Linked DNA regions of Elephas maximus indicus. The protein of the gene in region 1 purifies or fractionates together with the protein of each later gene. This does not show direct contact. Links are inferred from orthologs where the notes say so. Each region holds a gene or a part of one and is shown in the gene's direction. Other genes may lie near its edges. The genes, in order: RNPS1, HNRNPC, CSNK2A2 and AP2A1.

Evidence for each region.
Region 2: the proteins of RNPS1 (region 1) and HNRNPC purify together in Homo sapiens (co-immunoprecipitation; 3 studies listed by BioGRID and IntAct, with this or other methods). This does not show direct contact. The link is inferred for Elephas maximus indicus from reciprocal best matches to the Homo sapiens genes RNPS1 and HNRNPC.
Region 3: the proteins of RNPS1 (region 1) and CSNK2A2 purify together in Homo sapiens (co-immunoprecipitation; 3 studies listed by BioGRID and IntAct, with this or other methods). This does not show direct contact. The link is inferred for Elephas maximus indicus from reciprocal best matches to the Homo sapiens genes RNPS1 and CSNK2A2.
Region 4: the proteins of RNPS1 (region 1) and AP2A1 purify together in Homo sapiens (co-immunoprecipitation; 3 studies listed by BioGRID and IntAct, with this or other methods). This does not show direct contact. The link is inferred for Elephas maximus indicus from reciprocal best matches to the Homo sapiens genes RNPS1 and AP2A1.

Annotation. Positions count from the first base shown.
Region 1 is NC_064830.1:59,328,242-59,335,069, reverse strand, and holds the start of RNPS1 (RNA-binding protein with serine-rich domain 1), read left to right. Parts: upstream 1-3,805; 5' UTR 3,806-4,054; coding exon of another isoform or gene 4,055-4,056; intron 4,057-6,828. UniProt on the Homo sapiens protein: Part of pre- and post-splicing multiprotein mRNP complexes. Auxiliary component of the splicing-dependent multiprotein exon junction complex (EJC) deposited at splice junction on mRNAs.
Region 2 is NC_064828.1:31,625,234-31,632,316, reverse strand, and holds the start of HNRNPC (heterogeneous nuclear ribonucleoproteins C1/C2), read left to right. Parts: upstream 1-4,075; 5' UTR 4,076-4,224; intron 4,225-4,880; 5' UTR 4,881-4,926; intron 4,927-7,083. UniProt on the Homo sapiens protein: Binds pre-mRNA and nucleates the assembly of 40S hnRNP particles. Interacts with poly-U tracts in the 3'-UTR or 5'-UTR of mRNA and modulates the stability and the level of translation of bound mRNA molecules. Single HNRNPC tetramers bind 230-240 nucleotides.
Region 3 is NC_064839.1:25,024,292-25,031,613, reverse strand, and holds the start of CSNK2A2 (casein kinase II subunit alpha'), read left to right. Parts: upstream 1-4,303; 5' UTR 4,304-4,369; coding exon 4,370-4,473; intron 4,474-5,277; coding exon 5,278-5,389; intron 5,390-7,322.
Region 4 is NC_064829.1:100,197,097-100,204,637, forward strand, and holds the start of AP2A1 (AP-2 complex subunit alpha-1), read left to right. Parts: upstream 1-4,527; 5' UTR 4,528-4,686; coding exon 4,687-4,753; intron 4,754-7,541.

The DNA of each region.
Region 1 (6,828 bases):
GTGCTGGATGCAGAGACTCAGAAAAGCAAAACAAACACACTGGTTTCCTGCGGGGCGAATACCAAACCCAATCCTTAATCCAGGATTCAGGGGAGCCAAGAGTCCCAGCAAGCAGATCCAAGGGTGGCATCTGGGGTCTGGGTAGAGGCAGCAGCCAGCCCACAGCCTCCTTTTCCACCCCTCCCCCACTTGGCTTGCTCAGGACCTTGAACACAGAGGTGAGGTGATATTGTCGACCAAGAGAGGTGTCTTAGTCATCTAGTGCTGCTATAACAGAAATACCACAAGTGAATGGCTTCAACAAAGAGAAATTTATTTTCTCACAGTATAGGAGGCTAGAAGTCCGAATTCGGGGCGTCACCTCCAAGGGAAGGCTCTCTCTGTCAGCTGTGGAGGAAGGTCCTTCTTCCTGTGCTCAGTCTTACTGGGGTCTGGAAGCATCTAAGTGCAGGAATCTTGGGTTCAAAGGATGCTCTCTGCTCATGGCACTGCTTTTTTGGTGTTATGAGGTCCCCAACTCTCTGCTTGCTTCGCTTTCAGCTCTGGAGAGAGAAAAGGTGGTGTAGGCCACACCCCAGGGAAACTCCCTTTACACTGGATCAGGAATGTGACCTGGAAGGGTGTTACAATCCCACCCTAATCTTCTCTAACATAAAATTACAATCACAAAATGTAGGACAACCACAGAATACTGGGAATCATAGCCTACCCAAGGTGATACAATTTGGGGGGGACGTAATTCAATCCATAACGGGGTTCCCCCCCATCCGCTCTGAGGCACAGCTCCAGGCAAGGTTAGACCAAAGGCACAGTAGCAGCCAAACCTGACATTGCCAGGGCCAGAGACCCAAGGTCCCTAAGGTCTCAGCTCTAGAGCCCGCAGGTTGGTGGGGGCTCCACCTAAGGGCATTGCTGCCCCAGCTATTCAGTCTACCTTGGGGACCAGCACAATTTGGACCCCATGGCTCTGTGAGGGTGAAAGCCAGGGTGCTTTCCTCCCTGCAGACAGCTACTCCCTGGGGAGGTCCCTTTGCATGCAGCCTGGGCTCCACCCCCCCCCCCCCGTGCAAGGACTACAGCTCCTGGGGGTGCCCTGAAAGGGTCCCTAGAGGGAATCTGAGGTGTTCATCCCACACTGAAGTTGGCTTTCAGCTGCTCAGCCTGTCCCCCATAATGAGGCCTGCCAGCAGCCCTGGGGCATCCTCACCCTCCAGGCAGGAGCCCTACTCCCAGAACCCTGGTGCAGGTGGCCCCTGACCCTCCATGCTGGGTCACCCAGGAGCCTGGGGGCTCCTGCGGCCCCTTCCCTTCCCTCAGGTCAGCCACAGATCTGCCCGGAGAGAGGGCTGGGTCCAGCTGGAAGCCCCCATCCTCACCTGACACACCCACAGGGCATTGGCTTCGGGCAGGAGGAGGGGGCTGAAGCTGGGGGCTCCGGCCCAGGGAGCAGAGGCCCTGCCTTCCTTCCTCAACACACAGAGCTGCCCAGGCCCCACAGCTGCCCAGCAGGTGCCTCCCCGGTGAGAGAAGCTCCATGTTGACTGACAGGGAAGGCCAGGTGTGTATGTAGGCCAGCAAGGTCCAGACCAACAGCCTGAGGGTGAACTATGAGAGGTCACTGGGCCACAGAGGATGCGGGCATTGCGGGCAGGGCATTCTTTGACATGAGCACGTACTCAAACTCAGGGCTGCCCCAAATTGCGACAGGTGACCCTGCCCTGGGAAGGCCCCCTTCATGACCTTCCCCAGGACACTGGTCCAAGCCCGAAGGTGGCTTGTGGCACAGAGCTCTAGGGCCAGGGTGGCTGCCAAATGCCTTGTTCGTGCAAGCCCTGCCCTGCCCCACCCTTCCATCATAAACCCACCCAATGCCACCGAGTGGATTCCGACTCATTCTGACCCTACAGCGACCCTATAAGACAGGATAGAACTGCCCCATAGAGTTTCCAAGGAGCACCTGGTGGATCTGAACTGCCAACCCTTTGGGCAGCAGCTGTAGCACTTAACCACTACGACACCAGGGTTTCCCCCTTCCATCATACCAGGGCCAAAGATCACCCCCCTTGCCCAGGTCCCCCAAGGGCTCCCATGGCATCAGCAGGTTGGCAACAGAGACTGGAGGAGGAGAGCCAGGACTCCCAGGGGACAGGGTTCTAGAATTTTCTTTTTTTCCAAACACACTCTTGCTGTTCCTCAAAATGGCAAAAACCAGGATGTTCACTTTCTAAAGCTCAACAGCCAAAATTGCATGTGTTATAACAAAAAGCAGTGACATTTAGAAACAAACTCAAATCCATGTGTCTAGATAAACATGCTTTTAAGTTTAATACAAAATGTGTTAAATTTTATATGCATGCCAAAGTAATTGACTTTAGATAATTTTTTTAAAGATGAGAAGGGGCACTGTCAGCCCAGCTGTACTCTGTCCTCCACCCTCCTCTCACCATGCTGGGGTCGTATGGCCACGCTGACCCCAGCTAGCAGGTCAGTGCAACCCTGAGCACAGGCTCTGGGTTCCAGAATCTTCCCACAGGCGTTAATGGGTAGCTTCAGGTTTACAGAGTCCTTTCTGCCACTGCCTCCTCACAGACCAACACACTGCTGCCTGCCGGGACCACCAAGCCCACCCCATCCCCCAGGCATACCCACTCTGTTCCAAGGACCTTCAAGTTGGCCACGGCAGGGAATGCGCTGTGACATCCGTCGACGCAGAGATTAACTCGTTCCAACTGTCCCACACCAAATCTAGCACCCATCCCACCCCGAGTGGGGCTGACTCCACTCTGGCTATCGTTTGTCTTCCAACTCCTCAGACGCCCTGTGGCTAGGGGTGATGTGTTAAAGCTGCACTCAACATCCTGGATGGGGCTAGAAAGACTGCGGGAAGGGGTATCACCATCCACTGGCTGGAAAAATCACAGAACAAAGCAATGACTTGCAAACCACGTCCATACCATCCATCCGTCCATCTATCCGGGGTCACCAAGCCTCACCCTGGACTCTTTCCTGTCCTTCCCCGCCCCCCACCTAATGTTACCAAGTCATCTTGGCTCCTTCCTCCAACATAATCGGCTTGCATTTGTCTCCTGCTCTCTTCCTTGTTGCCACCAAACCTGTCAGACAACGGTCACCTCAGGCTGAGCCCACCTTCGCTCCTTCCATGAATAATTATGGAGAAACAACTGTCAGGCACAGAAAGGGGCACTGGAGACACCGAGGGGTACACAACTCCGGCGGTCCTCGCCCTCTCGGCGCCGGGTTTTCAAACTCCAGAGCCTCCGGCCCGGGCTGGCGTCCAACACTCTCCCTCTATCCTTGTCTCTGCCTCCCCTCCCTTCTTCCGAAAACGTGCCTGGCGCCCTGGCAGCTTGTTTCACGTGCTGGGTTCGCCCTTCCACTCAGGCCACCTCCTCGAAGCCCCATCCCCTTCCATCAACTTGAGAATCCTCCGCATTTCTGGCTGCACCGCCCACCTGCCTCGCGCTCCGGCCCGCAGCTACACGGTCACCCACAGAACCACGACTCTTGGATCGCAAGAACCCACGCTCCGTACAGGCCCACCCCTTCCCGCCGCCTCCGGCCTGCATGCACCCATGGCTGGCTGGCCGCGCCCCTCTAGGACCCCCAGCCACCCCCGCCTTCGACCCCCGCGGTCCCCCGCGCTCGGCGCACCCGGCCCACCGCGCAGGCGCACCGGGGGGCGGGGACTCGGCTGCGTTAACTCCTCCCACGCCGGCTCTAAAGTGTGCCCCGCGGCCTAGCCTTCCAGGCCCCAGCCAGCCGCTTACCTACCCGCTGCAGAAAAGGTGCGCAACTAGCCCTGGACCGCGCAGGAGACCCATCCAGGAGGGAAAACGAAGTAGCGCCCCCGCGGCCCTTCCCACAAACGGCCGTGGCCCTTTAACACGACGTCCGCCCGCGCCCATTGGCTGCAGTGTTCTTGCGTCATCGCTGTGCGCCCTAGGACGGCGCCTTCCCGCTCCTTAACCCTGACGACAGAGCGGCGCCAGCCTCGGCGGCTGAGGAGAGCTTGAGGCGGTGGCGTCGGCTGAAGATGTAAGTTGGCTGAATCCGACCCCATCCAAGCTTCATGGGCCTCCCGCCAGGCCCAGCGGGACACATCGTGGAGAGCTGCGCCGCTCCTCAACCCGCGATGATGGCCGCGGCCTGGCGGCGCGGGCTTTGAGGAGAAAGAGTGGGCCGGAGCGGGCGGAGTGGGAGGTGCCGAGGCCGAGGCCCGGAAGTGGTCGGGGCCGCTGGGGTTGGAAGGGCAACAGGACCTGAGAAGCCGGAATGCGGCCTTTGTTCGTGGGCCCTGCCCTGGGAGCGCCTACGGCCCAGACTCGACGGGAACGCGGCCGGGGGTCGGCGAGGCCGGCGGCTGGGGCTGGTGGGAGCGGAGCGGCTTTGTGGGCTCCCTTGAAAGGCCGAGTGACCGTCCCTCAGGATTATTTATCCACAACTTCCCTACCCTCCCTCTGTGAGCGTTAACCGAGCTCTTTGCGCTGTTCTCGGTGCGAGGCGCGGGCACTGAGACGGCCCAGCTCTCCTGCCACAGAACGCAGTTGGGCGGGTTATCCCGGAAGGGAGGCGGGAGGCGACGGAAAGGTTAAGGTCATCGGAGGAGAGACGTAGAACAGGCTGCTTCTGTCTCTATTCTAGCATGAACTGTTCCTAAAATGTATCTTTAAATGGGAAACGGTGCTCTGAAGATTTGAGCTGAAACGCCCTCGCCTCTGCTCAAGACATTACTAATTTGTTCTCTCCTCTCCCTGGCTGTTGGACGCGCACCTTTCCGGAGGACGGGGGAGGTGACCGAGGTCCTGGGCCTGTTACCTGAACTCGTGTGAACAGAGAACCTCAACCTTTGCTTTCTAGCACTCAGCCATACCCAGCAAAGCGTTCGCTCAGTCTGTGGTTCTTGATTTTTAGAGTGCTTAAGAATAAACGAGGGGTTGCGACCAATATCACAAAACAGTATGTGTATAAATTTTTGAATGAGAGGTTAACTGGAGCTGGAAATTTTCACCTAAAGCGCACTGAAAAAATTTTTAAAATCCTGTGGGGTAGTTCTACTCTGTCACATGGGGTCACCATGAGAAGAGAAAAAAGAACTCAAAAATGCAAAAGAAAGAATAAACGATGGTGCTTGTTTTTACACAGTGCGCTTCGAAGACTGGGGCTGTGCTCTCAAGATTGTTAAAACTGGGTGTGGGCGCAAGAATCTGCATGTGTGACCTACATGATGCGTTGCGATGTCCAATACAATAACCACTGGCCCCATGTGGCTCTTGGGCACTTGAAAATGTAACTAGTCCGAATTTAAAGTCTGAAAGAATGTAAAATATTTTTTTAACATTTTTTTCCTATTGATTAATGTTGAAAAGGTAATACAGGCAGTCCCCGGATTACAAACAAGTTCTGTTCCTAAGTCTGTCTTTAAGTCAATTTGTATGTAAGTCAAAACAGGTACAGTTCGTATCTAATGTCAGTCAAAGTATATAGTGTACCTTTTTGTATAAAAAACGTGAAAGAAATACTTCCAGATACACTAAAATATCTTTAATATAATATAGCAATAATAATGATGTTTTGATGCACGTCGCAGAGTAGTGCCTGTTTGTTATTATGAACCATTGTACATAGAATTTTTAATATACCGTGGTTTTTAATTTACAGTACTAGGCTTTACAAGGCTTGGTTCGTAATGTAATATGTAAGTCAGATGTTTATAACCCAGGGACTGCCTGTATAGTTTTCGAAATAAGATGCATTACCAGAAGTTAATTTTATCTGTTAATTTTTTTTTTTTTTTGAAATGTGTCCACTAGAAAAAATTGCATTATGCTTGGGACAGCGCTGCAGTATGGTCCTAAAGTGGGCTTTCCAGGGACCCCTGTTGAGCGTTCAGGAGTTACGTGTGACTTTGGAGACAAGAATATATCTAGGAAGAGAGCCTCCAGATGTGGAGAAACAGCCCATTCTTATAATAATAGCTAACATGTATTGAGGAGCCTTGGTGGCACAATGGTTAAGCACTTGGCTGCTAACCAAAAGGTTGGCAGTTTGAACCCACCAGCTGCTCCAAGGGAGAAGAGGCCTGGCAATATTCTCCTGTAAAGATTTCAGCCTAGGAAACCCTATAGGGTAGTTTTATTCTGTCCTATAGGATCTCTATCAGTCAGAATCAACTAAACTGCACACAACAACAAAACATTTATTGAGACTGGACAATTAATGCCAAGTTTTGTTGTGGATTAATTCCATGAATGCCCTTTATAATTCTTTGAGATGGGCACTATAACTCACCATATTGCAGATATTGAGGCTCAGAAATGTTAAGTGACTTATCCAAAATCACGCAGCAAAGCCTCAAATCAAACCCAGGCAGGCTGAGTCCAGACTGAATTGTACTCACTGCTTGTCCAGCAGCACTAACGTGCCTGCTGGGTGTCTCTGGTACCTTATCATTTTAAGGCAAAATTTTTTTTTAAGATTCTACAGCAAGAATCTACAGAAGGAGGAGTTCTCTTTACTCTTATTTGACTCCAAAGCCAGGTGCTTTCTTTCTTGGGTCAGAGCACTTGTTCTTGTAGCATCCCTGGTAGGGACACTCCTACACATGTGGGCACAGGGTCGGGGTGGTGTGCTGTGTCCAGACTTACTTACAGGGGGTTGAGAAAGGTAAGGCAGAAGTTGGGACTGTTATCCTGAGATCTTTGTGCCCACTTGCAGCAAATTGTCCAAAACCTCACTGGAACTATTAGAGGCAGCAGTCCCCAGGAAATAAGGGCATATAGCTAATCAGTACTTTGTTTTGGGGTAGTG
Region 2 (7,083 bases), on another chromosome or scaffold:
TTAGGATTGGAATGTAGAGCTATTACAGGATTCTGGTGTGGGAGTCACATAATAAAAATGATCCAGATGATCACCATGGCAGCAGTTCCATGGCAGCAGTTTGCAGAATCAGTATGGAAGGCAGACTAAATGTGGGACCCAAAGGTAAGGGTCTTGAAAGTGGTGTGTAATACCTTCAACATGTTTTCATGTAGAATATGGGTGCCTGTAGAAGATAGCTTGCAAACAGTCAGATTATTGTTAGCTGCCAACAAGATAGTCTGCAATTCACAGTGACCCCATGTATGACAGAACAAAATGCTGCCTGGTCCTGTGCCATCCCCACGACTGACTGCAGATGGAACTGTTGTGATCCATAGGGTTTCCATTGGCTGACTTTTCAGGGGTAGATCTCCAGGCCTTTCCTCCTAGTCTGTCCTAGTCTGTCAGCTCTGCTGAAACCTGTTCAGCATCATAGCAACACACAAGCCTCCACGGACAGATAGGTGGTGGTTGCACATGGTATGCATTGGCTGGGAGTTGAACCTAGGTTTCCTGCATGAAAGGGGAGAATTCTACCACTGAATCACCAATGCCCTCAAACAGTCAGAAAGGCCTCCAAACTACAATAAAGAAATATAAAGAGTGTCGGGTAAAATAAGACAGCTCTGTGAAATTTTAATTACGTTCTTTTTCTGAGTTCATCGGAGACTACCTCCTCACTCTTCAGTGGAAGATGCTTATGACATTGTTGGACAATGGAAGATATAGAAGAACAGAGGCAATGATGATTGTCCTGGAATGCGATAGGTGACTAGGTAGGCTCAGGGTGTGTAGGATGATGGATATTGAGGACAATATCCAGCTAACGACTCAGGTAAAAAGTAAATTAGGCATTTCATAGCCGTTGATGCTTTTCCTTTCTTCTTCTTGACTAATGGCTTGGAACTGGTAGTGGGGAGAGGGAATATGTATTATTCTGGTAATACATCTAAGCCACTTGAAGCTTTCTTTGAACAAAATTATTTCTTGAAGTAGAAACAAAAGTTCAGTTTTGTTTTGACTTCTCTTTAGACCAAGATAAGGACTTACTGCTTCTCTGTTGCCTTACCTCTTTTCTCTCCTTCCACTGCTGAAGTGTGGAACTATTCTGGAGTATAGAATAGAAAAGTATACACAGCTACCCAACAGGAGCATTTAACTTTAGAAGCTTTTAACTGTGAGGGTGTTTAGAGTCAGCACAAGGGGTCAAGGCAATTCCCTGCTCTCTACCTTACTTGCCTAGGTTTAAGAGCACCAAAAACCAAAGTCATGAATATTTGTCATCATATTTGGCAGTTAACATTCTGCCTTGTACTGTGCTATTTTTGCACTTGTTTTCTCATTCCTAGTAAATTCTAAGTTACTCGATGGAAGGACTGGCTATTAATTCTTCTTGTATCTGCCATTTCCACTCTACCTAGCATGGGGTAAACTCCTTGAAAACATGCATGCTGTCTCCTAAGCACCTCTTTTGCACCATATACAGTGCTGGTTAATAAGTAGGTCATGACAAAGATCATGCAATAAAACTGATATCTGGTAAAAAATAAAAATAGGTAGTTTTTATTAACATAAACTTTTTTTTTGAGAAAAACGAGTAATAAAACACGTTAGTGCTTTTTTGTTTGTTTGTTTACTTAAGTCAAATTACATGATTTACGTGTCATATCCTGGTGGTGTAACAGTTAAATGCTATGCCTGCTAACCAAAGGGTTAGTAGTTCGAATCCGCCAGATGCTCCTTGGAAACTCTATGGGGGCAGTTCTACTCTGTCCTATGAGTCAGTTGCTATGGGTCGGAATCGACTCTATGGCAACGGGTTGGGTTTGGTTTGGTTTGGTTTACAGGGCTCAAAGCCTCTGGGCCCCTCTGAGTGAGTGCTAGATAAGATATGTAAGAGAGAGGACAGTCTACCTGCTTGTCCTGGGAAAATAGCAATTTCCCCCTCCTTAATAAAAAAAAAATAAAAAATAATAATTTTTTTTTAATAAAAGGTAATTAAATTAATACATATTTAAACACTTTCTGTTTAAGGCATTGTGACAAGTAGTAAGCAAGGTGGACTACAGAGAGGAGTAAGAATTAAACCCTGCCATTAAAAAAGGTTACCACCCAACAAGAAGAACAGACAAGTGTAAAATTAACTACAGTACCTCAGAGTTTTAGATAAATTTCAATGTGACAATTGAACTGAGGCTTTAAGCACTTGTAGGATTTTTCCCTTGATTTTTTGTTCAAACTAGACAATTTGGAAAATATAGAAAAGCACAAGTAAAAAAAAAAATCACATGTAATTATCCCACCAGGAGAGAACCACTATTAACGTTTTAGTGTATTTTTTCTTTCATGGCTTTTATTTTTGATTTTCTAACTAGCTTAAAGTAATACGTGCATATGGTAAAACATTCAAATTGTATACAAAGGGAGATCAATGAAAAAGGTAAACAAGTTTCTTTCCCCAAACGTAACAGCTAACTTTCCTGTAAATTTCTCTGAATTCAGAATTCAAAACTAATGTATGAAACAGCATCTACACAGATATAAAAAAAAAAATTTTTTTTTATGTATCCCTTTAAAATGTATACAAATAGAATCACTCATCTAGACAGTTTTCTGTATCTTGCTTTTTCCAATAAATAACAGAAATATGATCCTTCCCTAACAGCACATACAAATCTCCCTGTTTTAGTAGTCCTACTCCATTGTGTGCCTGGCTGCTATAATTTAGTCAGGCGGCAGGCAATGGGGGGGGGGGGGTGGGCGTAAAATAGGATGAGGGTTATTAAGAGACCAGTTACTCAAACAGCCAGACCCAAAAAAAAAAAAACCAAACCCACTGCCATCGAGTCGATTCGGATTCGGACTCATGGCGACCCTATAGAACAGAGTAGAACTGCCCTATAGGGTTTCCAAGGAGCGCCTGGCGGATTTGAACTGTCAACTTCTTGGTTAGCAGCCGTAGCACTTAACCACTACACCACCAGGGTTTCCCAAAGAGACAGAGGAGTAGGCTAATTTGGTTTACACGCAGGCTATTATTAGTGAGATAAGGCTTGGGGACAGAGATGGGTGCTCTAGTATCCCAGGCCAGCATTTTACACTTCACTTGCTTGATGTATTGGAGAGAAATTAAGAAGTCAGCTGGCTTGGGAGGGTGTTTGGTGCGAAAGCCTAAGTGCTCCAACCATAAGGTTGGCGGTTGGAACCCACCTAGAGATGCCACAGAAGAAAGGCCTGGCGATCTGTTTCCAAAAGCTCAGTCTTGAAAACCCTATGGAAGGCAACTGTAACACATGGCGTCGCCATGAGTCAGGACTTGATGGCAACTGGTACTGGTATGCGTCGTCCGAACAAGGGCTTGATGGGCTGAGACGTGGAGATGTCCTTGAGGCAGCTGAAATTCCAATCTGGTACTGAGATTGCGGTTGGGAGAAACCTGCAGGCGAGCAGGACTGATTAGTTTTCTACACACTTTACCACAGCCTAGTCATCACGGCTCCTTTTCACTCTAGAAAACGCCCTTTAGCCACACACGCGAGGGAAGCTTCACTTGGTGTTTTTCTTTTTCCTAGGCCCGGGGCTACGGTAGATTTGCCGTGCAAGGCGGAGCCACCGAGGAAAGCTTGCCGTTCGCGCCAGCTACCTGACTACGCCCCTCACCCCTACTCCGCCCCCGCGCCCGGGAACTCGGAGATCTGGGCGGGCCTTTTACTGGGCGCTCTAGGAGACTGCGATAGGATACTGAGACCGTCAATCAAACTTGCCGGATACCCGGATGTGAAGCGGTGCGCGATACAAAGGCGAGTTTCCACCCGGCGGTACAGTGGCCAATAAGCATGCCTCAAGTGATAAATGACAGGAAAAGTAACCAGTTACAAAGTAGTTTCGCTCACGCATGTGGAAATTCTCTTGCTCGGTCTAACCCACTGCAAGTTGTGATTGGATAGAATTGTGAAGAGCAGTAGAAATGTCTTATTAGGAGAGGGAGCGAGACAGGGAACAGCCAATAAGAAGGTTCCTAGAAGTGAGGCGGGGGCTAGGTCTTCGCCTCCGCGGCAGAGGAGACTCGGGGGCCATTTTGTGAAGAGGCGAAGACAGAGCGGTTGCGGCCGCGTTGCCGACCTCGAGCAGCAGTCGGCTTCTTCACGTAGAATCTGGGAGTAGGAGATTGATAATCGAATCTCTTCTCCCAACCCCCTCCTGGTAAGTGGAGGCGGCGGCCGCAGTGGTGACACTGGGTTCCTCGAGGAGCGCGAGGGGGTGTGGGAAAAGAGACGAGGGAACCCTTCCTTCGGTAACCAGGCCCCCATTTATTCCATGTGTCCTGGGGGATTAGGTTTTATGCGGGAGGGAGTTTTGCAGGTCTCAGCCGCTGCGTAGATTTCACCTACAGTCCTCTAGGCCTCGACCGGCAGAGAAAATGTCATTTTTCTTTTTTGCTTTCTATGTTAACGGTTGCTTTCTTTTGATTTTCTGTGACTCTGAGGACTCCCAAGAGAGACTATGAAAGTGAAGATCGAGATGGTCATTAGTATAGTTGAAGTTTGATGTAGTGCGGATGCCTTCTGTTATCTCCATCTCTTAAATTAGAAAATTGGGTGTGTGTGGTGTGGGGGAGGGTTACCAATTAGGTGTTGTACCGTGATCGTCTCAAATTCTGGAGTGTGTTGCGGGGCATAAGATAAGAATAATGAATATAGCTGTAGATTTAATTTTTTTGCTGATTATCTTTTAATTTACTACTCCCTGTGAACACATGATGGACCTTGAAGTAGTTACTTTCGATTCTATTTACAAAAGAAAATCGAATTAACAATAACAGTAATAATTACAGCTGATTTACTACTTTTTATCTGCAGGTTACAATTGACTTGAAATACATAAGTTAGTGGAACTTTGCTTGAGGTAGGTATTACTGTTTTTCTCAGAGAAACAGGCATAAGAGCGTTGGCAGGGTCGTTAAATCAGTAGTGAAACTAGTACTTGTAAGGAATTTGATTACTAGGTCAGTCGTTTTACGTAGTTACTGGCATGCTGGTTACTAAACAGTACTATATTTGAATCTTTATAAGAACCACATTACAAAGTCTATTGGTAGGGAGTTGTAAATTCCAAACTGCACTTGAGAAAAATATTTAATTACGAGAATTGGATTTGTAATTAATGTAACTTCCTAAGATGACAAACTTAAAATTCGACTTCCAGGATATTTTGGTATTCATTTTTCTATCCATCTAAACTTTTGTGGCAAAAATGCACCATTAATACTTTTTATTAAGCAAGTATTGTAGTGCCTGCGATTTGCTAGGTGCTGAAACAGTATTTGAAAAATTTACTAAGTTTATAGAAGTGGCAGATTTTTAAGTATCCCATTCACTTACCCAGAAAATCGTTTATCTTTGTGTAAGATTGAGTTGATTTAGTCAAAATGTTTAACTCACAGAAAAACTAATGTTAAGTACACTTTTAACCAATATCGAAGGGTAAGAAATTCATCTCTCAGGAAACCTATTTGTTGGAAAGTAAAAATAGTCTTATTCCAGATAGATGTGCATTTGCAGATTCCTCACCATGTAAATACTGAAAATTCTATAATAGGGTTACATGGGATCAAAAGCATTTTGTAAAAATGCCTAAGAATTTACATTATACATGGGCTTAGACTAAAGTTTATCACTTTGCTGAACTGTCAGAAATAAGATAAGGCCAGTGATTGATTAATTTAGGAACTCTGATAAAAGTACTGTTGGCAAATGAAATCTCAGGAATTTTTAACGTTTTAGAAAGGTTATTGTTAAGAGTTGAAATTAATTGAAGGACACTTGTCTTGACTTGAGGTGTCAGAAGTAAGGGTTTCTTAGCATCTTCATGTACCAAGCTAACAAAAATTCCTTTGAGTTCATATCCTTTAGAAAGTATTTGGCCACAGAATTAAAATCTGAAACAAAATATAGATGTGTTCTCAACTAGATAGACATTAGTAACATTTTCATGTTGGGCTAGGTAGAGGAAGAGGGATGACTAAATTGTGGGTCTTTCTGGTAGTTTTGTGCTCCCTATGCCACTCTCCCAGTACCTGCTGCTATTCCTTGTATAGAAAGTGTAAACATAGCTTATAATTGTAATTAGATCTCTAGAGGGCTTGATGTAGCATTCAACCTCGTTTTGCCTAGAACATCAAGACTTTTCACAGTAGTTTTCAAATATGAGCAGGTGAGCTGGTTAAAGGAGTTTGTTGGGCCCCACCACCCGAGTTAAGTCATTCTAAGGCGGGGCCTGAGAATTTGCATTTCTAACAAGCGACAGGTGATAATGATGCTCATGGGATTGGTTGACACACTTCATTCTGAGAATTCCAGTAGAAGAAGGAATCCAAACCTCGCTGAAGTTTGACAAAGTATAATCTAGGTATGCTCTTAATTGCAAAGCATCAGGATTAGGTGCTAATGTTTTTTTTTTTTTTTTTAAGTGATAGTTTATCAATTTAACATACCATCATGGGAGATACTTTAACTTCATACTGAAAGATGTAAATGCTTTCTTTTCTTATTGCTGTTTTTTAAGCTTCTGTCTCTTGGCACATTTGCAGAGGATTTGTTTGTGAATGAGCCGTAGTCACTTAACATAACCTGAAGATTTTGAGTACTAAGTGATGCCGAATGTTTCTCCATAACTGTACTTTCCAAACACTGACTTTCCCAAATAACATTCAGATGTACATTTCCTACAGTTTGTACAGTTTTACATCACATTTCATACTTAAACTGCTCTCCCTCCCCTTTTTAAATTTACAGTTAAAATTTTAGAGTTACAGTACCCATTGCATTTTAATTAGTCATTCATACATAATCAACTCAAGGAACACTTAAAAAAGCTCAGTTTTAAGTTTTTTAGTTTCTTCAAGTTTGTGTAGGAGAATAAGACTTAATGGTTTAATATTGAGTGCAGCCAATCATTCTTATTTGAAAAGTGACCTAATTTCAAATCTTGTTTAAGCTGTTGTAATAGTTGCCTGTATATGTTTATTTTAGTATGGTATTGTATGTCATTTTCTTAGGAGTC
Region 3 (7,322 bases), on another chromosome or scaffold:
TTTGTTTCTATTTGTTCAGTGTTTGGATAGAATTGGGAGAACAGGTGTTAGTATGAAATTGTTGAGCTATTTGACCCAAGATGTCCTCTTTTATTCCCTGTTGTGTAATCCTGAATTATGTGCACCCCCATACCCGACACAGAGTATTTGGGGGAAGTCAGTTCTGGTCCCCTGAGTTCCCTGCCCTGCAGGACAGCCAGCTCTCCCCCCCTACCCCCCACCCCCCACCGTCGGCAAGGGTTGCCTTGTTACCACTGCCAATTGACCATCCTAGCTCTGGCCAAACTGGCTGCACATCAGGCAGGCAGGAAGGAGAGGCAGTGTGTCTCCACCAGTTCCATGGAGCACCCAACCTACTTACTAACAAACCATAAAAACATATTCCACTTGGCCGTGGGAGGGCTGCCTGCTGATTTCAGGGTGAGTTAGTGAGCGTTAGCCAAATCCAGGAGTGTGTTGCACCAGAGTGGTGTGTGGGTGAAATCTCAGGTATCTTGGCAGGTGTGGGAGCAAGTTATGTGACATGGGTGTGGATTAGGTGGTGAGGAATGAGAGGAAGGTGCAGGGAGGAGGGGTGGGGTCAGAGGTGGGCGAGGGTGGAGGCGAGGGATGGGGCCCCAGCTGGACTGAGCATAGTAGTTAAACCTGTGGTTGGGAACCATTTTTGGGTCATGGCCTCCTTTGAGAATCTGATCGATGCTAAGGAAAGAATGCACACACAGAAGCTCATTCAGGAGCTGAAGATTAAGAACCTCTGATCTAGACTAGTTCATAGGGACTTGTCAGAAAAAAATCCTAAGACTGCGTTACCGGTATGAAAATGTTTGTGCCATCTTATTCAAGAGAAATTTAAGAATGTTTGCATGTTTGCGAATTAAATTCCAAAGTCTACTTATTTCCTAAGGAGCCCTGGTGGCACAACGGTTTAGCGATTGGCTGCTAACCTAAAAGTTAGCAGTTCAAACCCACCCAGTGGCTTCGAGGGAGAAAGACCTGGTGTTCTGCTGCCTTACAGCCAAGAAACCCTTATGGGGCAGTTCTACTGTCATATAGGGTCGCCTTGAGTTGGAATCAACTCGACGGCGACGGGTTTTTTTTTTTTTTTTTTTAATGAGTCAGAATCGACTCGACGATACCTGACAACACTTATTTAATAAATGCTCTATTTTCTTCCAGTTTTTATTTTGAAAATTTTCAAGTCTATCAACAAGTTGAAAGGCCCTGTACTCTTATCTGCACACTCACCAATTATTTTCATTTCTCCCCAGTTCTGTTCCTGCCCCCTTGTGCTTATGCCTCCACTCTCAGAGATCCATGTTTTTTTTGGAGAACCATTTGAGAGTAAGTTGCAGGTATTACGATACTTCATCCCTAAACACTTGGCATATAACACCTAAGATCAAGGGATTTGTCTGTATATGCACAATTGTCACACTCACAAAATTCAGCCTTGATACAATATTATTATGTAGCATACTCTGTCACATGGAGTCACTATGAGTCAAGATTGGCTCAACAGCATCCAATGACAGCACTATATCCTGTACTCAAATTTCCCCAGTAGTGCCAATAGTGCCTTTTTAGCTGTATTCTCCCTTCCTTCCTCCCTCCCTCCCGCCCCCTACTTTTATCCAGTATGTAATTCAGAATCAAACCTACTTCTAGTTAAGTCTCTCAGTCTCCTTCAATCAAGAATGCTACTCCAGGGTTTTTTTTTCCCCCCTGTGACATTGATGTTTTTGAAGAGTCCAGGCCAGTTGCTTTGCAGAATGTCCCTTAGTTTGGATTTGTCTGATTGTGTTCTGGTAATTAGATTTAGGTCAACATTTTTGGCAGGAGTAATACATGGGTGATTCGTGTTCCTTCTGGTACATCACACCAGAGGGTCAGTTGGTTCTATTTTTGATGATGTTAGTTTGGTCCACAGTTAAGGTAGTGACCTCCTGGTTCCCTATTGTAATTCCTAAGTAATCTATGGGGTAACATTGTATTCGTGACAACCTTCAACTGTGGCAGACACTGGGTATGCCAGCCGTGAGCATACAGACGCAGTCCTTGCTCCCCTGCTGTTTGGACAGTGAAGGAGACAGACAATAAGCTAGGAAATAAATTAATTAAATATGCAGTTTTCTGGAGGATGTGGATATAGAGAAGTATCATCTCTAGATAAAGTAGTCTTTAAGGTGAGACTTGAAGAGGAAAAAAGATCCAGTCAAGGGAAGGCAGGGGTCAAGGGGGGTAGAGGTGGCCCCTGGCCAATCTTGGAGGGTGGAAGGAACTAAAAGATGGGCGTGTGGTGGTCTTAGGGAGGAAAAACTGAGAGAAGAAAGACCCTGGGACTGGAAATAATGATACTGAGTAATTAGTGGCTATGAGTCAGAATCGACTTGACGGCAATGGGTTTGGGCTTTTTTTAAAAAAAAAATCCTAATTGAATGGTAGCAGGGGTGGTTTAGTGGTAGAATTTTTGCCTGTCATTCAGGAGACCAGGGTTTGATACCTGGCTAATGCACTCATGTGCAGCCCCCACCTGCCTGTCATTGGAAGGTTACATATTGCCATGATGCCAAACAGGTTTCAACAAAGCTTTCAGGCTAAGATGGACTAGTAAGACAGGCCTGGTGATTTACTTCTTAAAATCAGCCCAAAAAAGCCCTATGGATCACAATGGTCTAATTCAAAACAAATTCTGGGGATGGGGCAGGACTGGGCAGCATTTTGTTCTATTGTACGTGGGGCCGCCATAACTTGGAGGCCAACTTGAAGGCAGCTAACAACAATAACACCCTTACTGAGCACTTAGTATCTACCAGACACTGATCTAAATGTTTTACAAGGTTTAATTTAATTCTTCCCATGGCCCTGTAAAGTAAGTGCTCTTGTTGGCTTTGTGCTGTCAACTCTGCAACATAGTAATTGGCCCAAGGTCACAGAGCTTTTAAGTAGCAGAACTGGGATTCAAACTTGTATTGATCTGACTCCACAGTCTGTGCTCTTAACTATACCACAGAGTAGCGAGCAGTGTCTCACCTGGAAAACAGAATGTGAAAAGGGGTTGGAGTCAGAACAGCTTTGGCTGGGTGAGGAGGTTCTGTGATAGAAGACATGGGATGGCATAGCAAGACAGAAGGCCCAGAAGATCAAAGAGAAAGGAGGGTTCCGAGGTAGGAGGCAACAGAATAAAATAGGCCAAAGTTTGTTTGATCCATCCTCAGTCATCCTAAACCCCTGGCCTGTCCCTTCAGGTCAGACCCTCACACCTTTTCTTGCTCTCCCTCCTCCCAAACTAAAACAGGTATCTTCACAGTCTCAAACTATCTCCCCACAAATCACTTATTAATTACATAGGGGAAAATAGTAACTTTACAGTGGAGTAACCTGGCAGGCACCAGCTCAACCAAGTGACCAAAGTAACCATTCAGAGGGTGTTCAGGGAAAGTTCTGGAAGGGAACTGGGGGAAAAGTGTATGAGAAAGGTCTTGTGAGGAAGGCTTTGGATGAAGAGACACTAGGTCTGCGGGTGACAGTGCAGGGTCCAGAGGGGGAGTGGGTCCTCTGGGGGAGATGAAGTGACCTTGGGGTGGGGGGAAGTTCTGGGTGGGGAGAAGGAGTCACTGGGGAGAGACTTTATGGGAACAGTTTGGGTGACAGGAGGGTAAGAATAGGGTCAAGTATAGGAGGCCTTGAGGTGGGGAAACTCTGGGTGACTAGAGGGTGAGGGCTTGCGGTAAGGGTCTCCAGGACAATTTTGAAAGGGTCCGAAGGCTCCAGGGCAGCAGTCCGTGGGTGGGGAACGTCCTGGGGTAAGCGCGTCAGGACACCTGAGCATGGGGCGATTTGGACCCGGGAGGGGGGCGGCGGGTAGCCGGGGGCGGGGCCGGCGCCGCCCGGCGGGTCCCCCCGCGCTGCAGGGGGCGCTGTGAGCCCGGGCGGTGCCTGGCCCGGCGGCGGTCGCTCCTAGCGAGCGCGGCCCCTTTTCCGGGTTTCCTCCTCCTCTCCTCCTTCTTCGCCGCCGCCGCTGCCCCTTTCCCGGCCGGCGGCTGCCGCTGCTGTTGCTACCGTCGCTGCTGCCGCCACCTTGGGGCCACCAGCCGAACCGAGGCCGCTGCGGAGCGCGAGCGCCGCCCGCCCAGCCACCCCGCCGGCCGCTCCTGGGCCGGGCCGGCCAGGCCGGCGCCCCCCGCGCCCCCAGCCCGTCCGCCCCCGCGGGCCCGGCCTGGCGCGGCCGCCCGTCGCCACCGCCGCCGCGCTCCTCCTCCTCCTCCGGCGCCCCGCGGCCAGCCGCCGCCTCCGCCCGCCGCCCCGCGCCCCCTGCCGCGCCGCCGCCGCTGCTCTCTGCGCCCAGCGGCGCCCCCCGGTCCCGCCCGCCATGCCCGGCCCGGCCGCGGGCAGCAGGGCCCGGGTCTACGCCGAGGTGAACAGCCTGAGGAGCCGCGAGTACTGGGACTATGAGGCGCACGTCCCGAGCTGGGGGTAAAGCCGCCGCCGTCCCTCGCCGGCCCCCTGGCTCCCCCTCTCCCGCCCGGCTCCCTCTAGCGGGGACCGCACTCGTCCCCCGGCGATTCGCCGCTCCGCCTGCCCCTCTCCTGGGCCAGCTCTTCTCGGGTCTGGGGTGGGAGCAGCGTGCCTCCTCTCACGCATGTCCTTGTCCCCGTTTCCGACTCTCCCTTTTTTCCCACCTTTGCGAAGAACCCGTCTGCCTTCTCCAAGGAATGCTTTCTTCCTGGGGAGAAGTACAGGGTGCAGGGGCTAGAGCCTATGGAAGTGAGGGGGCAGCCCTTCCTCCTCGCACCTTTGGGTTTCTGCTGGGGTTGGAACTAAACAGCTGTCCCCCTGAGCTATTAAAATTCTCTGCTTTTTTCGTTTTTTCCTGAAATGGAGATAGATGGGTGAGAGAAAAATTTTTAAGGACGTCCAGATTCTCAAAGTAGGCGCTGTCTACCTTGAGGGTGTGAAATGAAGCAGGAGCGAGGGAGCCAGGGCTAGAGGGGCACCTTGTGGTCCTCCAGGATGGATGCTTTGGTCTCCCGCCAGACTGGCTCAGAGCGGTGCCTTCCTCCCTCATCCCCCCAAGTTATCAGGGACTAGTTAGGAGCTCTGTGCAGAGTGAAGGGAGCCAGGTCTATGTTGTGGCTTTCATTTAGGGATGTGTCGTGATGTGATGTATAGACACTTCCAAGTGCTTGATTAACGGAAGAGGCTGGATGAAGTGTATAGTGGACGTAGGCTTGGTTAACCCAAGTCCTGGCATTTATGTGTGTCTTTTGCCTTTCACAGTAATCAAGATGATTACCAACTGGTTCGAAAACTTGGTCGGGGAAAGTATAGTGAAGTATTTGAGGCCATTAACATCACCAACAATGAGAGAGTGGTTGTAAAAATTCTCAAGGTGAGTGTATTATGAGGGGCGTTAAAAATACTTTTTTTTCCACAGGTCAAAAGGATAGCTAGCCACTGCAGTCACATCCTAGAATAAGCAGTGCTGGCTCTCATTTTGCATATCATTTTTTGTCCGATGTCCCTCACTATTCCTTCCATCCCATTTTCCTGTGAATTTCCAAGAAAATATGCAGACTGATCTCAAATCTAAACATGATAGTTTAGGAACCATCCTTGATCTGAAATTTAAATTATGGGCTCCCAAAGCAAAAAATTCCAAAGGGACTCCATTTATTACGAAGTAAATGGATGTTCAGAGGAAAGAAAACCTTTTTCATGAGGCACCCATCAATCCAAGGGCAGCTGGAGCTTTTTGTCACCCTTGGTGCTCTGAGTTATTCCAGAAAGAACACTGGAAAAAATTGGAGCCACTTCAAAGATGAGTTTGAAGCTCAAGTGAAGGGAAACGCCTCAGTGGGTAGTCAAGTGTTTCTTCTACTTTAGTGGTAAAGTTTCAGGTGGGGTGGAAATGGTGAGCCAGTTATGCCGAAAAGGTTCATCGTTGTGTGTTAGCTAGTAAAAATGAAATTTGGAGCATAGGAGAGTGTATTTGTAATCACTGAGATGATAATTGGAACAAAATGGTCTTAAGATCTGGTTTAGTGGCATAAGTTTGATAACGATACACATTTTGTTATCTCATGAATGAAGACATTATCTTAATGAGCGTGAAGCATTGTCTAAACTTTCCTTTAGGTATGTGATCAGTTGTGTAGCTTTAATAATGTTTTACAGGGTGCACTGAAAAGTAACTCTTAAGATCTGTGATGGGCCCACATTATGGTCAGGTCATTTAATACCTGTACATACCATTTAGTGAAAGATTCAGAAGACTCAAGGGTAACATAAACACTTTACATACATGTAATTTCCAGTATGATCATTTTGCAAAGGTTTTGTCGAATAAGAATGTGAGATTAAAAATCTGTCTTAAGGGTAGTGGTAGCCCAGCTGTGTAGATAGTCCCTGTTGAATAGGAGGGGTCAGACTCATGGTGTCTGAAAATCACCTCTCGGCAAAGCGTTTGGCTCCATCACTCGGAACCATCCTAGTCTGGTGATGAAGGAGCAGAATAGCAGTAGAGAGAAATAGGCAGTTATTTGTGTTGTCAGAAACACTGGCGACAAGTTGATGTTAAAGGTGTGTAGTTGGACTTGCCTCTTCCCTAAATATGGGCTTCACCTAAAAAGTCACGGGTCCTTTTTTTTTTTTTTTTTTTAAAACAAATAAAATTTTCCCCAGAGGGGTCATCTGGGAAGCCATATAGTTTATTCCTTTATGTAGATAAGCCTAAATGTTTTTAATAAAAGCTGCTTCACATCTTTCTAGGAAGTAAGCAGGACATAAATTGAAATTAGAAATTTTCACATTCCACTACTATACATTCAGGAGAGTAAACTGCTGACTCTAAGGCAATTCTAGAAAAATGTCTAAACTTTTATGCAGTGACAGCACTTTTAGCATAAGCACGCAACCTCCCATGGTGTCCTTTTGAAAGAAATAGCAGTCAGGTGTAAGTGTAAATACCGGTGTGTTCATTTAGGACAGCATTACATTGCTCTTCTGTCGGCCTTCTAAAGAACTTCATAGGGCCAGTTGCTGGATTGTTTTTCCCCTGCTCTAAATATTTTCAGGATATGTTTAGGGAACCCAGTATGGAAGCTATAGGTTATTTTTACAAATGGGCAGCCTAGGCACAAAGAAACTTTTCTAACATCATTATGTTGAAATGACCCTTCACTCAAGCTCCTGTTCCCTATCTTTTCCTGTCTCTTACTGTTCTCTTTAGCACTGGTTTGTAGGGTCTTAACACTGGGCAGAGTCTTCTGGAGTAAAACTTGGGAGGCAGGCCCCCTTGATGCTCAAATTAATGGAGTGTGTTG
Region 4 (7,541 bases), on another chromosome or scaffold:
CCTGTGCCTGAGAAACTCCTCAACCATGAGAAGACTGAGGACAAGGACCTTCCTTCAGAGTTGACAGAGACAGAGAGAGAGCCTTCCCCTGGAGCTGACGCCTTGAATTTGGACTTTTAGCCTACTTTACTGTGAGGAAATAAATCTCTCTTTGTTAAAGCCATGCACTTGTGGTATTTCTGTATGGCAACACTAGATAACTCAGACAGACACCAACTGTAAAAATGGCAGGGTGGAGGCATCTGACCTCCTCTAACTTCACAAGAAGGAGAATCAAGAACAACAGTCCAAGGCTGATTCCTATGAGGCAGAGGTCAGACATACCTCCACCCTCCAACCCTTTTACCAATTCTGATACCAACTGTCCCTTCCACAGCACTCTCTACTTCTCTGCAGGGTTTGATAATTCATTGCAATGGCCACACAGAATGCACAGACAATACTCACGATTATGGGGCTCATTAGGGAAGTAACAGGTACAATTCAGGTTCAGGAATACTCGGGATACAGTTCTTTGATCAGAACAGCCTCTTCTCAACCATGCCACAGGGAGGTCTCTCTCTGCCCTCGGCCCCTTGGCCTGTCATCTGCCCTTCTCAGGCAAGTGTCATAAAGCTTTTTTAGCTCTGCCAATAAGTGCCCAGAAGCACCCCACTCTGCCAGTAAGCCTCAGCTCAAAGGCACTCAGCCCTAACCCTGTAGTATTTCAAACGTAGTTGCACCAAGTGCCTGGAGGCTCCCTACTTTGCTGGAAAACCTGCCTGAAGGCGCTCAGCTTTCCTGCTCTGTGGGCCAAGAAGCCCATTGCGCCATCTCCTGCTGGTTTCCTGGTTCTGTTGCTGCTATTTCTCTGCCACTGCTTTTCGCTGTCTCTGGTGTTACAGCTCTTACTCTCTGTCCTAGTTTTGCTGCTTCTGCTATCTCTCTCTGTGTTCCCTGTTACACCTCCTCTCTCTCTCTGTATCCCTTTAAGCCTAGCAGGATGACAAAACTGACCAATGCCCTCATTAGAGTTCTATACACCTTATTTGCATGATCCCACCCCCACAAGGGAGCAGTGCACCTTATTTACATGATTAGCAAGCAATCCAATCCCCTAGGTGGACATTAAGCATCTCATGTGGATAGTCCAACCCAGTCATTTGGTGGGAGTTACAAAGGCTGTGGCTAGAAGGGCCATGTTAAGTAATTCACTGCACTATACACCTGTTTGTTTTTATTTTTTATTTTTAACATGGCTAGCATAAATGGAAGGAGCCCTGGTGGCACAGTGGTTAAGCACTCAGCTGCTAACAAAAGGGTTGGTGGTTCAAATCCCTAGTTACTACACAGTAGAGAGACCTGGTGATTTGCTCCCCTAAAGATTACAGCCTTGAGGGCAGTTCTACTCTGTCCCATAGGATTGCTATGAGTCAAAATTGACTTGATGATGACTTTTTTTAAATAAACGGAAAATTATCTATTTTGCATTTTTATTGTATAAGGCCATCCTAATTCAACCAGGTCAGCCCATGCAGCCCTGTGGAGGCTACAGGTCCATCTTCACAGAGAATTTGACACAAGAAGGCTGGGTTGGCCTCCCCAACCTACCCTCGCCACTCCCCCCGTCCAATTTACACCTCAGAATGCCTGTGCTTTAGGCTCAGTCTTAAAAATTAAACTGTGGATGATTCATGGGCTCTACGGGGTGAGGTAAGGAGCCCTGGTGGCACAATGGCTAAGTGCTCAGCTGCTAACTGAAAGGTCAGTGGTTCAAACCCAACAGCCACTCCATGGGACAAAGATGTGGCAGTCTGATTCTGTGAAGATTATAGCCTTGTAAACCCTATGGGACACCTCTACTCTATCTTATAGGATTGCTGAGCTGGAATCGACTTGATGGCAATCGGCCTATGGGGTGGAGTAAGGGTGTTTAAAGGGAAGCTGAGTTGCCCCACCTACCCACAACTGGACCTAGAACCCCCAGACCAAGAACCCTGAGTTAACTATCCGGCCCTACATGAATTTGGTGGGAAGAGTGAAGGGCTGGGGTTGGAAGGGGAGGTGGAAGGTTCAGGTGGGGAACCAATCAATGGCCTTGAAGTACATTCTGACTCCTGGTGACCTCGCGTGTGTCAGAGTAGAACTGCATTTCATAGGGTTTTTTGTGGCGGATTTTTCAGAAATAGATCACCAGGCCTTTCTTCTGAGGTCTTCTGGGTGGACTGCAACCTTCAACCTTTCTGTTAGCAGCCGAGCGTGTTAATTTTTGCACCACCTAAGGACTCAGGCAGCGAAGAATGTGGATTTCCCCCTTACTTAGGAACAAATTTCTTTTGTTCTTGGGTCCCCCGAAATCTCTCTTTCACACCCCCAAATAGAGGAATGGTTTGAACCCTACTACTAATATATTTATTTTAATGGCGAGATCCTTGCCTGTTGCTTTTGGGTCACTTCAGACTCATAGCGACCACAAAGGCCAGAGTAGAACTGCACCATAGGGTTTCTAAGGCTGTAATCTTTACAGAAGCAGACTGCCACATTTTCTCCTTCAGAGCGGCTGGTGGGTTCCAATAAATTAGCAGGCAAACGCTTAATGACTGCGCCATCAGGGCTCCTTGGTGTTATCCTTGCGGTGGGGGGGACAATGGTGCTTCAGTGGTAGAATTCTCACCTTCCATTTGGGAGTTCTGGATTCGATTCCCGGCCAGTGAACCTCATGCACAGCCAATACCCGTCTGTCAGTGCAGACTTGAGCATATTGATGCATAGAACTTCCAGACTACTATAGGGTGGCTATGAGTCAGAATCTACACGACAGGCAAGGAGTTTGGTTTTTGGTTCCAGACTAATGAAAATCCTATGGGTCACAAGGGTCTGATCCACAACCAATCGTGGGGATAGCGCAGGACCTAGCAGCATTTGGTTCTGTTGTGCCTGAGGTCTCCATGAGTCAGATGGCAACTAACAACAACTATAATCCTTAGGGAGAAAGTGTTTCCTCCCTATATCTTCAATGGACTTCTTCAGTTTTGGACCAGTTAATGTCATTTTCCACAAAAAGGACTTAGTCAACTCCAGATGAAGCTACTCTTATGTTTCTTAGAGGCAGACATGCCCCCTCCTATTGTTAGGGATGTACTCTCTCAATCACCAAAACAGCTGAGTGAAGAAGAGCCCGGCCTCCCTGGAATCCAGAATGGACTTTCCCATGCCCCTTTCCTGGAAACGCAAATGGACGGATCCATTGAACCTGGGCGGGGGAGGGGGGACTCTTCTCGCTGTTGCCTCCCCATCCCCCCAAGATTCGGAGTAGAAGTTCCCAGGATTCAGGACACTCCTCCAAAGCTCATTCCAGGAATACTACTTGGCTTCGGAAATCAGAAGAGGATGGTGGGATGGAGTTTTCTTCCTCGATGTGACAGAAACGGATTCCTCCAGATCCCTTTTCCCTAAATTTCACAATAGCTTGGGGCTTTGAAGATCCGGAAGCTTTGCCTTCCCCAAAGCCAGTCAACCAGAGACTGTCTGGAGCGCCGAGAGGAAGCCAGTGTTGAGCTCGTCAACACCAGATCCTTTTTGCGTTTAGGAGCTCCAATTTTGGTGGAGATAACCACAAGTTTGATTTGATATCTGCTACAATGGAGGTTGCCTGAGGCTTTATGGTTGCAAAAACAATAAACAATCCATATTGAATAGTAGCTAAAAGCCAACAGAGTTTAAATTTCTGACTGCCGAGCTGTGCGCCCTAGGGCAAGTCACTCAACCTCTCTGGTTTTAAATTTTAACCCTTGCTTAACGGGACTAGATTTGGATTACCGTTTCTCCCCCGTGAGAGTCTACGTCTCTTGACAGGCCCAAGAACTGACAGCTTGTCCGCTGTAGAAAAGAAGAGGGGAAAGGGAAGGAAGGCTTCCTGGAAGAGTGTTTAAGAGCTCAGGGTAAGAAGGCGATCAGAGAGACGCTTGCGCAGTAAATACCTCGCTTCCTCTTCCCCCTCCCAACCACTTCTCTGCAGCAGGGAATTGCAGGCGTCGCTCCACCTATCCCAGCCCCGCTGAGATGGCCCCCACTTCTACTTCCTTTTCTACCAATCATCGTCCTCTATCCGCTCCCACAACCGCCCAATGGAGGGCGAAAGTAGGACACGTTCAGCAAATCCGCTACGCTTGCGGGGGCGGTCTGTCTTTCCATTGGGTCCAGTTAACGCAAGTTCCGCCCCCTCAGCCCCGCTCCCCAGCTTTCCTGCACGTCCTTCCCTCCCTTTTTGGAGAGGAGCCGGATCCAATCCGAATCCGACCGGGCAGCGCGGAGGGGGCGGTTCTGTAGTGCGTATTCGAACCCCGCCGGTCTCTCGGGCAACGTCCCCGCCTTCTCTCCGAACGGAAATAGCGGGGGCCTGGACCAATGGTAACGGCGTGCCTTTGCCTAACTACCAATGAGCGATGCAATGGGGGTGGGCCCAAGTTTGAAGGGCAGTAACCTGAGCCAATGCGTGTCTGAGAGCTCAGGGCGGTGGAACCGAGGGGCGGGACCAGGGGGCGGTGCCGCGGCCTGCCAGCCCGCCTGCTTGCCCGCCAGCCCGGCCCGGCTCGGCTCCTTGGCGCTGTCTGGGGTCCTTTCCGCCCGGTCCCCGCCTGCCAGCCTGCCAGCCCCCGCTGCGTTGTGCCCTGTCCGGCCGGGCCTGGGGCCGACACCACCGCCATCATGCCGGCCGTGTCCAAGGGCGATGGGATGCGGGGGCTCGCGGTGTTCATCTCCGATATCCGGAACTGTGAGCGTGCGCCCGGGGGACACTGGCGAGGGGCGGGGAGAGTGGAATTGAGGGGCTCGGGGGTCATAGAGCGGCCTAGGAGGGTAGAAAGGCCCCGGGGGGAACTTCAGGGTGGGGGCAGTGGAGGGGCTTGGGATGTCATAGAGTCCTTCTTGAGGTGACATGGAGTGGCTAGAGGGGTCCCGGAGGGTTGCCAAAGGGAGCCAGCTAGTTAGGTCCCAGGAATGGGGACATAAACGTGTCCCTTGGGAATGATAGAAAGGTTAAGGGGTCGAACAAGCAATGGGGTTAGAGAGATCCCTGTTGTAGACAGAAAGGGAAGGAGTTGCGGAGTGGGGCACCCTATGGAGTGACAGAGTGGGAGGAGGCCAGAGGGGACCTGGAGGACGAGACACACTGGAAGCCCGACACGCTGAGAACCTAACGTGGCCGGGCCTGAGGGCCTGGGAGAGGGGCGTCATACAGGGGAAGGGGCTAGAAGGCCACTCAGGCCCTTTGGTAGCAGCCTAGAGAGGGCCTAGGAGTGGTAGAAAACCCAGGGGACTGAGGAGGAGAGATGGGGGCACTATAAATAGACTCCAATAAGGGATAGAAGGCTCCCCAGTGGGGGATTGCTTGGAAGGCACGGGGCAGTGGGGAGCAGGCTAGAAGGGTCACTAAGTGGAAAGGAGGGTCCCAAGGAGCACAGAGCTGAGGGGGATAGAGGAGCTGCAGGTGTGGAGGTCTTGGGAGCCAGAGAGTGGGGGCCTGGGTAGGAGAGGAGGTTGTAGAGTGGGGCGGAGCTTCAGGGATGTAGGGGCAGGGAGCCCAGAGCTAAAGAAAGGGGCCTGAGGAATTTGTGGGTTTGTGGAAAGAGATCTGGAAAACTGTGGGTCATTCAGGCCCAGAGAGAGGTCAGGGGTCAGTGACCACAGCAATCTGGGGTCAGTGAATGCCACCAGGCAGAGTTGTCATGACGATGAGAGGCCTGGCGCCAAATCAGCTCCCAACTCCCAGGAGCCGGTGGTGTTGGTGTTTGAAGCTGCCAAGAGCTGCTGAGGCTACATCTGCACGGGCTTTGGGGTCAGCCAGACTGGCTTTGAGTCTGAGCACCACCACCCCCTAGCGCTGTGACCTTGACTGAGGGGCTTCACTCTTATGTTTCCTAATCTGCCAAGTGGGAATGCTGCTAGTACCTTCCTGGGGGGGTTGTTGTGACAGTGTATGTTGAGTGAGGCCTCTCCCACATTGCTGGCACTGGATGGATGTTAGCTGTTGTTATCGTGCTGGATCTGAGGAGAGGCTCCTGTTCAGTGCCCAGTGATTGACTATTTTAGAAATTCATAGGTGTAGGAGGATCTGGCACATAGTAGGTACTCAGTGAACAGTTGGAGTGGCAGCTGCTGAGTGTCAGTTGGTGGAGAGATGAGGATATGGTTGTCATGGAAAAGGAAAGAGCTCCTGTACTAACTAAAATGCTAGCAGTTCAAGCCCACCCAGAGGTGCCTTGGAAGAAAGGCCTGGTGACCTGTGTATGAAAGGTCATGGCCTTGAAAATCCTATGGAGGGCCGTTCTGCTCTACACACATGGGGTCGCCATGAGCCAGAATTGACTCGATGGCAGCTAACGATGATAACAACATGAGGAGCCATAGACTAGGTAGGGGGTCTGTTGTTAGGAGTAAGTGTGCACTGTCCCTGATACCACCAGCCTAGGTGAGACCCTGGGCAAGTCATTTATTCTCTTTGCAGCTCAGTTTTCTTGTCTGCAAAACAGCACTAGTAATAGCCATTAAGATTTATTCATTCATTTGACAAATTTTTTTGACCACTACAGTGTACCAGGCACTACTCTAGGCACTGGGCCTGCAACAGTGATCAAGAATCCTTGCCTCTGGGAGCTTCCGTTCCAGGAGAGAGATGGAAAAGAAGCTCCTGGGAAAAAACAAAAAAGAAGAACCCAAACCTGTTGCCACTGAGTCGATTGCAACTCATAGCAACCCTATAGGACAGAGTAGAACTGCTCCATAGGGTTTCCAAAGAGCACCTGGGGGATTTGAACTGCCGACCTTTTGGTTAGCAGCTGACTTCTTAACCCCTGTGCCACCAGGGCTCCAGTGATGCTTAGTTCTACGAAGAAAAGCAAGGCGGGAAAGGAGGTGGAGAGTTACTAGGATCTAGAGTGGGGTCAGCAAAGGCCTGACTGAGGAGGTGACATTTGAATGGAGACTTGAGTGAAGAGAAGGAGCAAGTCTGTGGATTTTAGGGGAAAGAGGGTTCCAGGCAGGGGATACGGTGCGTGCAAAGGTCCTGAGGTTGCCATATGCTTACTGTGTGTTCAAATGTGAGCAAGAAGGCCAATGTGGCTGGAGCTGAGTGAGCAAGGCAGAGACGTCTGGAGATGAGGGCAGAGCAGGAAATAGGGCGGATCATGTAGGACTTTGTAGGCCACTGTGGGAACTGTCAGGAGCCCTGGTGTTGCAGTGGTTAAAGTGCTCAGCTGCTAACCAAAAGGTTGGCGGTTCGAACTCACTAGCTGCTCCAAGGGAGAAAGATGTGGCAGTCTACTCCCATAAAGATTGCAGCCTTGGAAACCCCATGGGGCAGTTCTCCTCTGTCCTGTAGGGTTGCTATGAGTCAGGATCGACTCAACAGTAAAAGGTTTTTAATGGGTGAGGACTCTGGCCTTTCTCTGAGTGAAACAGGAACCACAGGAAGGTTTTGAACACAGGGATGTGATCTGATTTATGTTTTAAAATAATTCCGCTGGCTGCTGGGAACAGAGCAGATTCAAGAGGTAGGGGCGGAA